3 linked regions of the Drosophila melanogaster genome follow. The protein of the gene in region 1 interacts with the protein of each later gene in a pairwise test. Each region holds a gene or a part of one and is shown on either strand. Other genes may lie near its edges.

Region 1 (4,200 bases):
TTCGAGACTGCAGAACAGTTCTTCTTTTTATGGCCTGGCATTTAAGCTATTAACTTTAATTAATATCCAAGAATGGGGCTCTGTAGTGGGGAAATCTAATTAAAATACATAAGTGGTTAATGCCGGGTAGGTAATAACCCATGGGATGTAAGCGTATTATTACTCCAATCAGTAAGAAAATGTAAAAATGATACGATTTGGAACATATGTACATTCATACAATAAAGGATTCGAAGGATGTAAAAATTATTTGAATAAAATGTAATGCAACTATTTTGAATTTCAAAGGTCGATAGATGAAAACATAAACCAAAAAACATTAAAAACATTTAATAAATTCTAATAGTCAATATTTGGTTTATTGAAAACGAGGCTGTAACCTTTTATTATATTTGACCAATTTCTTAAGACAAATACATATGTATGTATGTAAGATTTAGCTGCACATTTGCTTGGTACAACTTGATAAATATTCAGCTTATATACACATTGTTTAGAATTCAGAATTACTTCGTAATAACCAAATCAAATGACAATTTGTTTACAATTTGTTGTTACAGTAGCGATTGAATAACCATATAATACATGGGCATTGCTATAGAACTCAATCTCTGGTTGTTATATAATTCGAGTTTTTATTTATGGCCCCATTTTCTTGTCACCACTCCTCCTCCACTGAAGTAGAGTACTCTTGGTGCCCAGGGCTTGGACAATCCAACGCCAACGCAGTGGAAGTTGTCTATTCAAAAAGGTGGCCACATAATGTGCGAGCATGCTCGTCCGGCGGATTTCTTCCCCTTGGTTAGGTAAATGGGAGCAAGTACCCAGTGTGTATGTACATGGGGAATGTATCGTATGTACAAGGGGGCATCTCGTACGCAGCAATCTCTGAAGGTTTTTGCTCTTTTCCGACTGCAGCTGGCAGATACACCATATCAATACAAACATACTATATAATATAATATATGGCCATACAGAATTGTATCCCGCAGCTGAGTTCGGGGCCCCAGTAAATTTTTAGCAAAGTCTCCACTGTCTGGCCCCCGTCTGGATGTTGTTGGTGTTGTTGTTGTTTTTTGCATTTTGGAGCTTTTCAACCGGTTGCCATCGCTTGCACTTGGCTATGTAACCACATACGAATCCAGCAATATCATCATCATCTGTGTGGCAGGGTATGTATGTATGTATGTAGATACAAATGTATATGGAGATACCATATGTATGGGTTGCCCCAGACGCTGTCACTGCGCATGTTTACGCGACGCCGGCTTGCCAATCCTCCAGCTCTGGCAACAGCGGATTTGTAGCTTCCAGGCGGCCCTGCCAGCCAGCCAGCCAGCCAGCTGTTGTTGTAGTTGTTTATCGCCGGCGACTCGAATCCGCATCGGCAACCGGCACGAGACTCAGACTCTCAGCTGTTCGCTCAATGCCGGCAGTGGGAATTCAGCTGCAACACGACCACTTTACATATACCCCGTCTATATGGATATTTGTATATATGAGTACATATATGTATATCGCCGGTACAAGGAAGATGGCATCTCTTGGGGGGGATATTCGTGCATATATGCTTCGATTTCAAGCCGGTTTGCCTCTTTTACGTATCTTTTTTATTTGGTTTTGCAACGTTGCAGTTTGGTTTGTCTGGTTTCTTGCCGACTACGAGTACGAGTACTTTCTTTGTTCTCTGGCTATCTGCGGTAGAGGAAAAGTATCTCTTATTTCGGTGTATATAGCAGAAAATGGCATAGTACATGGCTTGACTGACTGTTTTAATGGGTAGCCCTTCCCCTTGGTGAGTTCTCTGGAGGAGTTGCATAGTTTTTCGCCTGGGAGCTGGCATGGAAGCCGACTGGAAGTGACCAGGTTTTCCATTCAGCGCTGCACAGCCGCTTAAAAGCGTCGACATTCAGCCATAAGGGCTCAAACGCAGTCCAGTTGGAGGCCAGAACGGATCGCCGCCGGTTCCCAGACGACACCAATCCCCGCAAGACCTAAAAAATAAAAGATATATCTTAGCCAGATAGGAAGAAAGTGAAAATGTCGCTGATACCGTTCATACTAGATTTGGCCGAGGAGCTGCACGATTTCAATCGCAGCCTGGCAATGGATATAGATGATTCGGCCGGATTCGGGTTGTATCCACTGGAGGCCACCTCACAGTTGCCACAGCTGAGTCGTGGGTTGGGGCGTGGGAATGCAATGATGTGGGTGCCCATCAAGGGTCAGTCGGCGGCATCGCAGCATCGCCATCATCCGTACAATCGTGTGGCCGGAGCCAAGACTGCTTGCTGCAATAAGTCGCTGGTGGAGCTGGAAAAGGAATTGGGCGATAAGGGCACGTCCGGGGCAAGCGGCAGCACCAGTGGCCAACCGGCGGCCAGCAAATCCGCCTACTCCGTGGTGAATAGGAACGGCTTCCAGGTGAGCATGAATGTGAAGCAGTTCGCCGCCAACGAACTGACCGTCAAGACCATCGATAACTGCATCGTGGTCGAGGGTCAGCACGACGAGAAGGAGGATGGCCACGGGGTGATCTCGCGCCACTTCATCCGCAAGTACATCCTGCCCAAGGGCTATGATCCCAACGAGGTGCACTCGACCCTCTCCTCGGACGGCATTCTGACGGTGAAGGCGCCGCCACCACTTCCAGTCGTCAAAGGCAGCCTGGAACGACAGGAGCGCATCGTAGACATCCAGCAGATATCGCAGCAGCAGAAGGATAAGGATGCGCAGCCGCCAAAGCCGTCAGAGGTAGAGCAGCAGGCGGCAGCTAGTGCCACCACTTCCACTTTAAATCCGACTGCACCCACACCCACTCCTTCGCTCTCGCTCACTCTCGCCGAGAGCAACGGCAACGGTCAGGAAGAGACAGAGATGGAAATGCCGGCTGTTTCGCCCCCCATTTCCAATGAGGCTGCTGCTGCCGCTGCTGTTGCAGTGGAAGCCCCTTCCACCGCAGGAACCACTTCCAGTGCCAACAATGGCGTTGCAGAACCAGAATCAGAGTCCATGGAAGTGGCGTTGGCCAAAAACGAAGAGACTGCCAATGTGGATGAACCCACACCCAATCCCGTTATAAGCATCGAAGAGGAGCAAAAGGCAGAGGATGCAAATGCCAACGAAGTGCCCGTTGCCTCGAATAACGGCAATGGAGCAGTCGCAGCAGCCGAGGATGTGGAAATGCCGCTGGCCAAGAAACCGGAAATCTCCACGGAAGACAGCAAAGAGGAGCAGGCGGAGAAGGTTGATAAAGTAGAGAAAGTGGAGGAGAAGGGCGGCGAGGAACTGGCAGCCGTAGATGCGGCCATTCTACTGGCCAAAAACCAAGGCGAAAATGGAGCCACTGCAGCCAAAACCGAGGAACTGGCCAAGTGAAGACTGAACTAAAAGAAAGAACATAAATAGTAATTAAGAACAAATAATAATCTGCACGGGTAGGCGTGCGTTTTATTCCATACGTGTTTCTTGTGTTTTCTTTTCTTGCATTTCACACAAAAAAAAAGAAGCGAGAAAGCTGACGGGAAAAGCACTCAATTACTAATAGTGGGAGATTGCTGGCGTTATATGTATGTATGATTTTCTAAAAAACATATGTGACAACAACTACAAGTATTCCAGTAAAACTTAAAGACAGAAACACGAAATAATGTACTTAATAAAGAGGAAAACCAGAATAAAAAAAACTGACGTTTTGTTTTGTTTGCCGTTAGCCGGCTGTTTCTTTTGCGCTCTTTCTAGAAAATTGCAACAACTCTCTAGAAACTTCGGCTCTCTCACTCATACAGGCGCACTAGCTCTGCTTTTGCGCGTACGACAACAACTACATTTAAAATTTCTCGAAACTCATGGCATTTATTGGGAAAGGTTAGTTAGTTTTATTTTTTGTTTTTAGAGCAGCATTCAATTTAGACTTTTATAAAAGAAATTTCTAATTTGATCCCTCGTTTATCAAACGATACAAAGCTATATTCATAATTTTTTCTCTCTGTGCACGTTCTCTCTCTTCTCTTCTCTCTCTCTACTCTTTCCTTTTTCTGTCACTTTCCGGACTCTTCTAGAAAAGCTCCAGCGGGTATAAAAGCAGCGTCGCTTGACGAACAGAGCACAGATCGAATTCAAAAATCGAGCAGTGAACAACTCAAAGCAACTTTGCGCAAAAGCAAAACTTCAAACGAGAAAAAAAAGGATTAAAAACCT
Region 2 (6,440 bases), on another chromosome or scaffold:
AATTCAAACAGAATTCAATGCCATTGCCAATGACAAACGATGAGAAAGTAGGTACGCGTAGGTCAAGAAAGCGCCAGCGCGTAGACACAACCTCGTCCATTTCGTACGGATATTTGGCAAGAACATTTACGGCAAAGGAAACAATCACTAGCCAGTCAGGCAGTTGGTGGGAGGAGGCGTACATGGACACGCACATGGTGATGAAGGTCAAGGCTCCAGAGATTATAGTCAGCTCCGAGTGTGGCAGCCAGGCGTCTGTGACCAACGGGTAGACAATCAGGTTGCAAATGAAGGCACAAAAGAAGTACAGGTACGGCTTCATATTGTTGCGTAAAAAGCGATGCTCCGCAATGTCCGCCTCGATGTTCTGATCCCCGTAGCTCAGGAACAGTCCCGACCAGATGCGAAAGTCCACGAACTGTTGTTTGGTTTTCAGCATCTTACACGTGGCCCAGATCATGATGCCCAGACTGAGATAATAGCTGACCAGGGGCAGCATATGCCGGCTGCTCCACCAAGAGATTGCAACGAGCACGCTGCAGCGCACGCTCAGAGGGATGACGTTGGGTATGGACACAATCAAGTTAAGCAGCCGGTGGTAGAACAGGGTGAAGAAGATAAGCGGGTGGAAGATCATGCGGTAGAAGCAGGGTACATGGTCCAAGCTCCTAGGATCCGGGACGGATAATGTGAGAGCATCATTAACGCTGGGCATTTGTCCGGCACTGTAATTGGAAGCTGCCGAAACGAGGTGAGCTTCGGTGATGAGGCGGCGTCGCTCCACATTGGCTAGGTCAATGGTGGGCACATCTTCGAGCGGTTCGCACTCCGGCTCCTGCTCGCCCTCGCTGCTCGACGAGGAGCGGTCATCATCGCGTCGACGCCGCTTGCGTTGCAGATTGTAGATGCGCCGCATTTTGCGCTCCAGCTGCTTGGGCGTTATATGCTCGTTTCCATTTGATAGGCAGGCAAAAAGCTCCCGGGCTGCTTTTCTGGCAGCCCGCTCACCAGGCGTCATAGCCAGGCAGCGACGCACTTCGTCCGTATTCTCTGCCGTAATACCGCTGCCATCGTTGTAGCACTGGCGTAGCAGCTTGACTGCATCCTCGTGTCCATTGTGTGCTGCACTCACCAGCCAGTTGACGGCCTTCTGGCTCTGATTGCCTTTGGCAAGATTGGGCTCTACTGCGGACATAGCAATCTTCATTATCTTGTAATTCTCGAGCAAATCCTTACACTCACCTATGGAATTATCGAGTAACTCTTTGGCCAGATCGTATTGCATCTGGGGGCATCCCTCCTCGGCGATGTGATGCTTAAGTTTGTTCAAGGAGGCACGATCTGTAAGGGAAAACATCTTCACTTTATGAACGTGTATCAATCAAAGCTCAGAGATTTACCTTCCAGATTCCAACGCCTGCGCTTGGTGACACCTGTCGGCTCATTTTGCGTCCAGGTGGCCATCTATGTCGAGTTTTTCGCTTTGTTTACGAAAATCTATGAAATAATTCTAGTCTTGACTTAGCGATGGCATCGTGTAGAACTTGTCTTAGAGATGGACTCACAAATATTAGTTAATATAATTATTAATTTAAAAATTTGTTTACCAAAGTTTAATTATTCATCGTATATAGTATATAAAATACATTTATGTAGTATAAATAATTTCCTATATTTAAATTTGTGTTCTTTGTGTATAATGTCGTGACTTCTAATCGATAAATAACTCAAATGTACTCAGCTGTGATTTCGATATTGCGACATCAAAAATCGATTCACACACATGCCGGCTAGATTGTTTGCTGTTGCAAAAGTAGTTGTTTATTTTTGATTTATAGGCATTTCCCAAATAAGAGCCAGCACAAAAATGGAGAGAAATCTGCAGAAGCAATTATACGGCATATCGCGCGAATCTTCACCAGGTGCACGAAGGTACAGCATGCCAGCAGCCTCGGCAGACAGCACGCGTAAATCAATTTTTGGCGGCAGCGCCAGTTGCGCCCAGATGTCGGGGAGCCTCAAAAGGACTGCCCTGACCAACAGGTATGTGCTAACTTATTCTCCTGGAATTTCCCACTCATCAAACAATCCTTTTCAGCCGGCTCAGCTTGTCGGTGCGTTCCACTCAGTCCATTGCCGGCATCCGATCCGATTACAATTCGGTAGAGAGCTTCGGTTGTCCACTGCCGGTGGTGGTCAATGAGGCACTAACCTTCGCAGGTCCAGGAGCGGGCACAGTAACAGCCAAAGTGACGCAAAACGGTTGGGCTTGGGTAATATATCAGCAACTCTCATTGTATCTGGTTCAGCAATCAGTACGATTACCTTTTCAGGTTGTCCAAGGCAGACGCCTCTTGATTTGGCAGTATAAGGACACGGCCAAGTCGGGCTCGCCACCTCGTGTGGGCAAACTGGCAAGACGTGGTGGTGGTCTGGCCCAGTGCCGTGAATTGACTTTACCTTACAGTGACCTGGGTCACAAGAGTGATTTAATCAGTGTTTTCCAGACGGAGGGTCAGCAAATGGCCTCCTGCATAGCGGTATCAGCCACGGGAGAAGTTCGGTACTGGTCATCGATTGCGCACGATGGGAACTCCGTGGATCTTTCCATCTTAACTGGCCAAGAGTTTGTCCAGCTGCTCAGTCTACCAACGCAGCAGGGCTACCTAGCCGTTACAACCACCTGCAATCTGGTATTCCTGCGAGTCGGACTGACCAACGGACGTTACACACTTCACCATAAGACTATCAAGCCTGCCACTAGCTTCCTTGGTGGTTTTGGCAAAAAGTTTGCCTCCATTTTGATTGGAATGAACACGGGTGCAGACAAGGATCAAGTAAGTATCTTCGTCCAGCATGGGACAAAAATCTCATGAAGTGTTTTTTAGACTTTGGTCGGCATGTGCTGCGAGAGCAATTTAGAAAGTGGAGAAACCATTGTGGCCGTGCTCTCTGATCGTGCAATCCAGCGCTGGAGTCTGTCCAACAATGGCAACACCGAAAACCTTCTGTACGAGGATGCGGATATGTTGCGCAGGATACGCGAAGAGTTTATAACGAACTTTTGGAAGTTCCGACTCCCAGCGGATAGTTTGGAGATCGATCTCCATCTGTTGGACTTTCACGTGGTTAAGAACAAAGCTTATATACTGGCTGGAGCTGTGAATGCTGCTCACGCTCCACAAATGTGCTACGCTCTGGGTAAGAAGTATGTGACAGCAAATCTTGATATGGTATATAATGTTAAGTATTTTAGTGACTGGCACTGCTCAAGCTGAAAGAATGCTTCTGGAATCGTTCACGCCGCTCAATATGAACAAATTCTTTAGTGCCAAGACTGAGGAGGATTGCCTCAGCGTGCGTTTTGTAGTAGGCAGCAGCCACATCTATTTGTATACTTCTAAAGTTGTGTATCCTCTGCACTTGACCAACTCGGTGCCGACAGCAGAGCTAGAGGCGGAAAAGATCGAGTTCCATCAGCACGATGATCGCATTTTGAGTGCCGTCATCTGCAGCCAATTGCCATTGTTCTTTAGTCGCACACATGGCCTAGTTTCTATTACACCGGGCGATTTTGATGGTACTGAAATGATGAACATGAGCTCCTGCAACACGCCAGATTTATATGCTCCCAATTCGTGTAATGCTAGTTTCGCAGTTGCCGATCATTCTGCTTTGACTAACAGTACTAATAATCTTCACCTTTTCGAACTGGATCCGGATGAAATGTACAACGAACTAAGCGATGAAGTTGGTCAACTAAAGGCAGCGTTCCTATATCACATGAAACGCAACAGCAATATGGTCAAGACGATCGTCGATGAGCTGCTTCGTAATGTCACTGCAGCCGATCCAAGTGGTGCACCCATGGATGCTTACAAGTTGGATCGAATTGTTATTACCATCGCCGAAGACTTGGCGGAGGATATACCAATAGCCGATCCCCGATGGGAGGAGGCACTTGCAGATCAGGAAATGAATAGGCATGCCATCGGCAGCTCTCGTTCAATGCAGATTATCAACCAACTAAGGGACAAGATCATTGCTTTCCAGCACTTCATAACGTTTCTGCATTCCAGTTTAGTTTGGGACAAGGTATAAGGACAAAATATTTATTTGTTTATTTATTTGATTTTGTTAACAAAATCAATACTTTTCGTTCCAGTTAAATGTCATACCTTGCGGAAGCCATTCGCTGAAACCCACCGGCTGTATTCTAGCCGATATCAGCGAGAAGATAGTGGCTGCTATGGCTCTGCGATCCATTCAGACCAAACTGCCCAAGCTGATTGAAGAGGCTATCGATGCCACCGTAGCGTTATGGCATGAGGAGCCTCAGGGCAGCCTAACTTACCAGGATATATTTTACGTAAAGCTGTCTAGGTTTCAAAACGTGTTCGAGGCCCTGGCGGATATTGCTGACGATCGAATCGCTGCTCAGAATCAGACCACCATATCAGTGGCCCACTTTGTCAACGAGATAAACTCCATTGTCCTAGACGTTTTGGGACAAGTGTTCAAGTATCGAAAGCAGCACGCAAGCAGCTTTAGACTGAGCCACGAAAAACTACCTTCCTACGAGAATCTACCTTGGACTGCGATGGCTGGCAGTGCGGGAGTTCGTGACACGCTGACTCGCCTCATTGACATTAGCGTTCGCTATGGCAGCCACTGCGTTAGCGAGACTGAGCTAAAGCAGCAATTGTACCAACAGATATTCGAACTAATTGATTTGGTTTTGGACGGACGGAAGACTTACTTAAAAAGCGTGCGCGACACGGAAAAGTTCAATGTTCTGCAGCAGCAGTTTGAGGCTCAGCGAAGGGAACTCATCTCCGTGCTAAGTAAGTTGTGTATTCTATTCATAATTTAAAATTCTTAAATATTTCTTATGTCTTTTTTTTTATTTTGTAGTCAAAGATCGCCAATACGAGTACGCCGCAAAGATCGCCGAGAAGTACCTCGATTTTCAGAGCCTGGTGCTTATCTGCGATGAGACGCAGGACAAGGAGCGACTGGAAGATTACACCCGCAAGTACGAGGAATATGACTTCTCACAGTTTGCCATCAATTGGCATCTGCGCCAGAACCGGCACGGCGAGGTATTCGAACGCTTCAAGGGCAACCAGACGGCTTTGGCTCAGTTCATGCGTGACCATCCGTCCCTTGGGTGGATCCAGCTAATATTCAACGGCGACTTCGAGCGGGCGGCCAAGGTGCTGTACGAGTTGGCCCAATGCGAAACGGAGTTTGTGGCGCGCAAGAAGTCTATGCTGTCGCTGGCCAAATTGGCCGCCTTCGCGGCAGCCGAATCCGATTTAACTGCCCAAGTTGAAAAGATCAACGCAGATCTTACGCTGGTCGAATATCAATCGCAACTGGGCCATGACGTACTGGAAAGCTTTGGCTTCGATCCAGCAGAACAGAAGGTGCTCAAGGCAGAGGAGATTATCAGCGTAAGATTTCACAAATTAATATACTTAATTCACTTATAAATATTACCGTCTTATTATCATTAGCTTTACATCGCCGAGGAAAATGAAACTGCCAGCGAAACGGAATTCCGTAAAGCTTTGGAACTTCTGAGCTACGTGGAACAGCCGTACGACATGCGGCACAAGATCTGGTGTGCAGCTATAAAACGCGATAACTGGACGGACTACGATCCCAACAATGCGGTGCATTACATGCAGAAGTTGCTCTTTTACAAGATCATCGAAATCTCGCAGCTGATGGGCAACGATTCCGAGAACGTTTTGCCACCCATGGAAGACTTTCTGGAGAGCGTGGAGCTCGGCGATTTGCCGCAGCAGAAACCGTTTCAGTATCTGTTGAAACTGACCTATGAGTATGTGGCCGACATGTTCAAACAGCCAGACGACATGGAACTCTAATCAAGCACCTCACATGTCTTTCTATTAAAGTTTACGTTAAGAATTTAAAATGATGGCTGGTGTTCTTGGACGGTGGACAGTTGCCTGCCTTGTTGTTGCGTCGCTCAAACGCAGGCATTATAAAATATTATAAACTAAGTTGCTTTGTCACAGCCGGTCTCTGCCGGCGAAAGTATCTGAAGTGTGGCGAACGGAGAGTCGGAAGCCCACCAAGTGTGTTCGGGGCAACTCTAGAGTCGGCCTGACTGGCAGCTGTGCTGTTTGCATTTGTCGCCGGTGCGCATCAGTTTAACTTTGATTATGACGGACGAAACAACGCCGCTTACCGATGCCGTTCCCAGTGGCTCCGGATATGTTGTCCTGCCGCCGTATCAGGGACCGGAGCGTGTCTTTCCGGGTGGTGTTTCTCCGCGTGCGCGACGCAACAAGATGCGACAGTTCCAGTGCTGCATGGGCATCACCTTTATGTGAGTGTGAAACGAAGAGTTGGAACTGCGGCAAAAGAACACCTATCCTTAGAAACTATTGCTATAGGCTCTAAATTGT
Region 3 (4,726 bases), on another chromosome or scaffold:
ATATCGCGTGCTTCTGCCGCTGCTCTTTAATCCCTTCTCGGCCAACGCTCACTTTTACATTGTCTACAATGAGTGCCTGAGTCGCGAGGAAATGGGCAAATTGGTGAAGCTCTGCCAGATGGGCATACAGTTCCAGCGGAATGCGGACGACTACGGCAAAATGTTGAGCATTATACCGTGGATTCGGCACATTTGGCCCGAATGGAGTGGCTACAACAAGCTAAACGAGTCCAACCTATTCGTGCGGCAGTTCTTTGCCGACTTTGTGGATAAGTATTTGGACAGCTACGAAGAGGGTGTGGAGCGCAACTTCATGGATGTCTACATAGCTGAAATGCGCCGAGGTCCGGGCTACGGTTTCAATCGGGATCAATTGATCATGGGCCTGGTGGACTTCTCCTTTCCGGCCTTCACTGCCATCGGAGTGCAGCTATCGCTACTCGTCCAGTATCTCATGCTATATCCGGCAGTTCTGCGGCGGGTTCAGAACGAGATCGACGAGGTGGTGGGATGCGGACGATTGCCCAACCTGGAGGATCGCAAGAACTTGCCCTTCACGGAGGCCACCATTCGCGAAGGTCTGCGCATCGAGACGCTGGTTCCCTCGGATGTCCCGCACAAGGCGCTGGAGGACACCGAATTGCTGGGCTACCGGATACCCAAGGTTAGAAAAGTTTCCTATCTATTTAATTTTAAAAACCAAACTATTTTCCCCTATATACCCGTACAGGACACCATTGTCGTGCCCAGCCTGTATGCCTTCCACTCGGACGCCCGTATTTGGTCGGATCCGGAGCAGTTCCGGCCGGAGAGATTCCTGGACGCGGATGGCAAGCTCTGCCTGAAACTGGATGTCTCGCTGCCCTTTGGAGCGGGAAAACGGCTCTGTGCCGGCGAGACATTTGCGCGCAACATGCTCTTCCTGGTGACAGCGACCATGTGCCAGCACTTTGACTTCGTCCTGGGCCCCAATGATCGGTTGCCCGATCTCTCCCAGAACCTCAATGGACTGATTATTTCGCCACCAGATTTCTGGCTGCAACTACAGGATCGGCATTGAAAGTAGCCAAGATATTAGAGTTATCTATTTTTAAGACAAAGTAATTTTACTGATTACGTTAGCTAGTTTGCTTGGATATTTTTTGAGGAATTTTATTCCGTCACATTTCAAAAATATTCTAGAATTGCCCAATACTATTATGTGATGCACCACAACGAACTATTTATTTTAACATTGTCGTTTACTCATATCGTGTGGTATCAAAGTTCGCGAACGGAACTTGTTGAGAAGATGCGATTGGAATGAGATGGGTTTCTTAGAAATCCTCATTATCGCTGTATACAATGCAATCAGAATCTGAGCTGGTGGATGAAAAACTCAATGAGCGAACCAGCGAGACCATCGAAGAATGTATTGAGGGATTGGGGGACTGGATAGCATTGTACTCGGATTCTGAATCCGGATCGTATCCTTCCTCATCGTCCATTTCCTCTTGCGGGTTCACGAATGAGTTGTCCAAAGGATCCACCTCGTTGGCGGCTTCCATCGTTGCACCCTGAGTCTCATTGCGCAACTCGATCACTTCTTGGCGAATCTGGTTCTGCTCCTCCGCAATGGTGGCCACCAGTTGTTCGAGACTGCAGATCTTGGCCTCATATTCGGTCAGTTTCTTCTTCAGCTGACAGTTTTCGGCCCGACAGTTGGCCAATTCCAAGCAGGCGCACATGGCGATCTTGACGTCATCCGAGGTTGCGGACCTGGTACTGTATGCAAACCACATTGTTACCACAAGGAACACATACGCCGGATATCGAAAGCGATCTCTTGGCCGAAACTTACATGTTTAAGCCACTGGAGTTCTTATTATGAACCGGGCAATTGAGGGACATTTTGAGACTTGAAATTTATAGGCAGTTCAGTTTAGCAATTGTCTTACGACAAAATCAACTTTGACCTATTTGTACTCGGAAAGTTCACCCAGAAATATTTGACACTGTTTTACTGTTCTCTTCGATTCGAATGCAAATATGAGCTTCTGAAATACAGAAATTCAAGGTCCCTAGATTTTAATCTCCATTTTAAATGGGTCGCAAATCGAATATAAATCAAAAGATACAGTCAAATTACTGCAGATTGTTTTACTAGCCGAGCTGATAACAAAAATAAAATAGCAAACTGCAAGATAATGTGCAAACACTTTGACCAAAATGCCCTTATCAATATTAAGACAATTGAGTGGCAACAAAAAAAATAGAAAATAGAGTTGAAAACAAGGTGATAATTGTTTGGTTACGAAAACGACAACTTGTTCGCTATGAACCCAGTGTTTAAAATTCACTATCAAAACAAGTGAAGTTGACATACACATGAAAATATATCTTACTTAAAAGTAACTTTTATAAATAATAAAATAAATGTTAATATTATTTAAACTACTGGCACTTACGCCTTTTGGTGACTTCATCAGCATGCATTCACGACTCGAGCGGTTGGAGCTGCTTTTCCGGGGACACCTATTGACGCTCCTTGGCTTGCAGGCCGGAGTCGTGGGCTTTCGGGAACACTTGGGCACTATTTTCTTGCGGCCGCATCCCATATGTTTGAGTTTCTCCGATTGACGCCGATGACGCGAAGTGGAGCTTTTGCTGAGACACCGTTTCTGGTACTGCAGGGTATTAACGAAGGGCAGAAGATAAAGTTCGCCGGTCAGGGGGAAAGTGTGTAATCCCTAGGAACTTACTTTCGATCGATACTGATTCTTTTCTCGCGAACTCAATGCATTCCAGTACCCCGCTCCCTGACGCAGTGACTCCTCCATTTGGAGGTGCGGGGATTTAAGATGTATAGCCACCGCGTAACTTAAAAAGCCGTTTGGATACGGTGCCATCTCTACTTATACTTTTCAACTAACGTACTGAAATTTAGGATGCTAAACTAAGAATTACGTACAAAACATTCGAGCTTGAAAAATTGAAAGGTACAAATTTGAGTTGAGTTGCTGTTGCTAACTGATAGAAGTGAAATCTCAAAACTACTTGTTTAATAATAATTGCCAGTTTCTGGATTTGATACACAACTCTTCGTTGGCCTTAGTTTATTATGATGTATATATTACAATTTGGTTAAAAACTGTTCGCTTAGCCTAGCAACAAGCGGTTTAACTTCAAAACTTACAGATAATTTGTCATTACACTTAGCCGTATTAGATAAGCGAGAGTCGTTCCGTTCCGAGGACCCTTTCTCCAAATTTATATTGCTTCGACTCCTAAATATCAACTTACGAACTAATTGATTTATATTCACGTTGCGCATGGACCTGCATCCATGCCAGTAACTTGGCTAATACTGGCCACTCCCGCCGATCCCCAAATCACCCCGATCCCCCCAAGGTCCTTGGCCAACTCCTCCCTCGATTATCCTCGCCATTCCCCAAACACGCAGGTGAAAGGATTTAGGTTTTGGTTTGGTTCTAGTAGTAGGCCTGCTTTATGGCCGCACTGGTGATAAGGAAAGCGGAGCCAATCAGCATGAAGGTGATGATTTTGAGAGCACTTGGTCTACCGGAAGAATCTGCGAAAAGCGTGACATTCATAGATCATCCTTACTCAATTGGTTTTGCAAGGACACTTACTTTTCTTATTGGGCATCACGCGAATGCATTGATTCTGATTGGCGTTCGCCGAGTAGCCCAGCTTGCACTGGCACACGGAGTTGCGGCACTCGACATTCTCGGGATCCTTTTCTACATAGCACTCGGTGGCCTTGGTGCACGACTCTCCCAGCTCTGCAAGATTGCAACATATTAGAATTATTACAAATAATTAAAGAAAGCTTAGCGACTCAATTACCTCGCTTCGTCTCACAGACTCCGTTCTTAGCATGCTGCTCATCGTTGCATCCACACTTGCCCTCCGAATTGCAGCTCGCCAGGAGCGGCTTGCACTGCTCATCCTCGACGCACTCGTCCTCCAGCTCCTCGGCTATAATGAAATGTAATGTGGGGCAGGGCATAATTTTGCTGCTTTGCATTTCAGCTTCTGAGTACTAACCCTCTTTTAGGCACTCATCCTTAAAGTGCACGTATCCCTTTCGGCACTGGCAGGTGCGCGACTGATCCTCCTCGTCCTTCTCCTGGCATTCGGTGTTCTCAGGTATGCAGTCATCCTCCACCGAGCAGTCGGCACCGATGCCACGCATACACTGATCGTCCTTCTCAAAGTAGTTGTCCGCACAAACGCACACGCGATTGGAGCAGACGGAGTGATCCACAGGACAGCCATCGTTCGACTCACACTCGGCTCCCAGGCCACGTTTGTATTCGCAGAGCTGCTTGATGGCATCGTAGAGAGCGTACTCCTCGCAGGTGCACCTCCTCGGAATCTCCGGGTGGCAATAGGAGGCGCCAAATGGACTGCATTGGCTGTTCGAGGTGCAGGATAAGTGGTATTGAATGGCTGTTTTGATGGAAAAGGATATATCTTAAGTGCGATTCAGCAGCTAGCGTTGGAACCACCTACGTTTTCTGCAATTGCGCAGATCCCGCTCGTAGAAATAATTCTTTTGGCAATTGCAAGTTTTGGTCAACTGATCGAACTCGTACTCGCACTCATCCGTGCTCTCCGCAATTTCCCCCAGTTCTAAAGAATTTTCATTTCAGTTAATTTCATTAATAGAAGAATTAAATTGGGGGAAACCCAGTTTACTCACCGGCAAAACATTTTCCAT

The links. Proteins that work in one complex are often made in the same cells at the same time.
Region 2: the proteins of Hsp67Ba (region 1) and Nup133 interact in a two-hybrid assay, tested with the Drosophila melanogaster proteins (one large-scale study listed by BioGRID).
Region 3: the proteins of Hsp67Ba (region 1) and grsm interact in a two-hybrid assay, tested with the Drosophila melanogaster proteins (one large-scale study listed by BioGRID).

The regions. Positions count from the first base shown.
Region 1 is NT_037436.4:9,377,280-9,381,479, reverse strand, and holds Hsp67Ba (heat shock gene 67Ba), read left to right. Parts: upstream 1-1,945; 5' UTR 1,946-2,040; coding exon 2,041-3,378; 3' UTR 3,379-3,678; downstream 3,679-4,200.
Region 2 is NT_033777.3:22,688,833-22,695,272, forward strand, and holds Nup133 (nucleoporin 133kD), read left to right. Parts: upstream 1-1,774; 5' UTR 1,775-1,867; coding exon 1,868-2,043; intron 2,044-2,098; coding exon 2,099-2,273; intron 2,274-2,333; coding exon 2,334-2,837; intron 2,838-2,888; coding exon 2,889-3,201; intron 3,202-3,256; coding exon 3,257-4,095; intron 4,096-4,165; coding exon 4,166-4,844; intron 4,845-4,914; coding exon 4,915-5,456; intron 5,457-5,519; coding exon 5,520-5,894; 3' UTR 5,895-5,940; downstream 5,941-6,440. Other genes in the region: wfs1 (wolfram syndrome 1), read right to left, coding at 1-1,185, 1,243-1,341, 1,401-1,464; cd (cardinal), read left to right, coding at 6,195-6,361. UniProt on the Drosophila melanogaster protein: Probable component of the nuclear pore complex (NPC). Plays a role in NPC assembly and/or maintenance.
Region 3 is NT_033777.3:12,964,713-12,969,438, forward strand, and holds the start of grsm (granny smith), read right to left. Parts: upstream 3,001-4,726; 5' UTR 2,889-3,000; coding exon 2,742-2,888; intron 2,667-2,741; coding exon 2,448-2,666; intron 2,037-2,447; exon of another isoform or gene 1,891-2,036; coding exon of another isoform or gene 1,841-1,890; intron 1,765-1,840; coding exon of another isoform or gene 1,317-1,764; exon of another isoform or gene 1,226-1,316; intron 1,212-1,225; exon of another isoform or gene 1,061-1,211; coding exon of another isoform or gene 731-1,060; intron 665-730; coding exon of another isoform or gene 1-664. Other genes in the region: Cyp304a1 (cytochrome P450 304a1), read left to right, coding at 1-664, 731-1,060; CG14384 (uncharacterized protein), read right to left, coding at 1,317-1,764, 1,841-1,890; CG7381 (uncharacterized protein), read right to left, coding at 3,471-3,571, 3,633-3,785, 3,850-3,981, 4,051-4,455, 4,519-4,638, 4,709-4,726.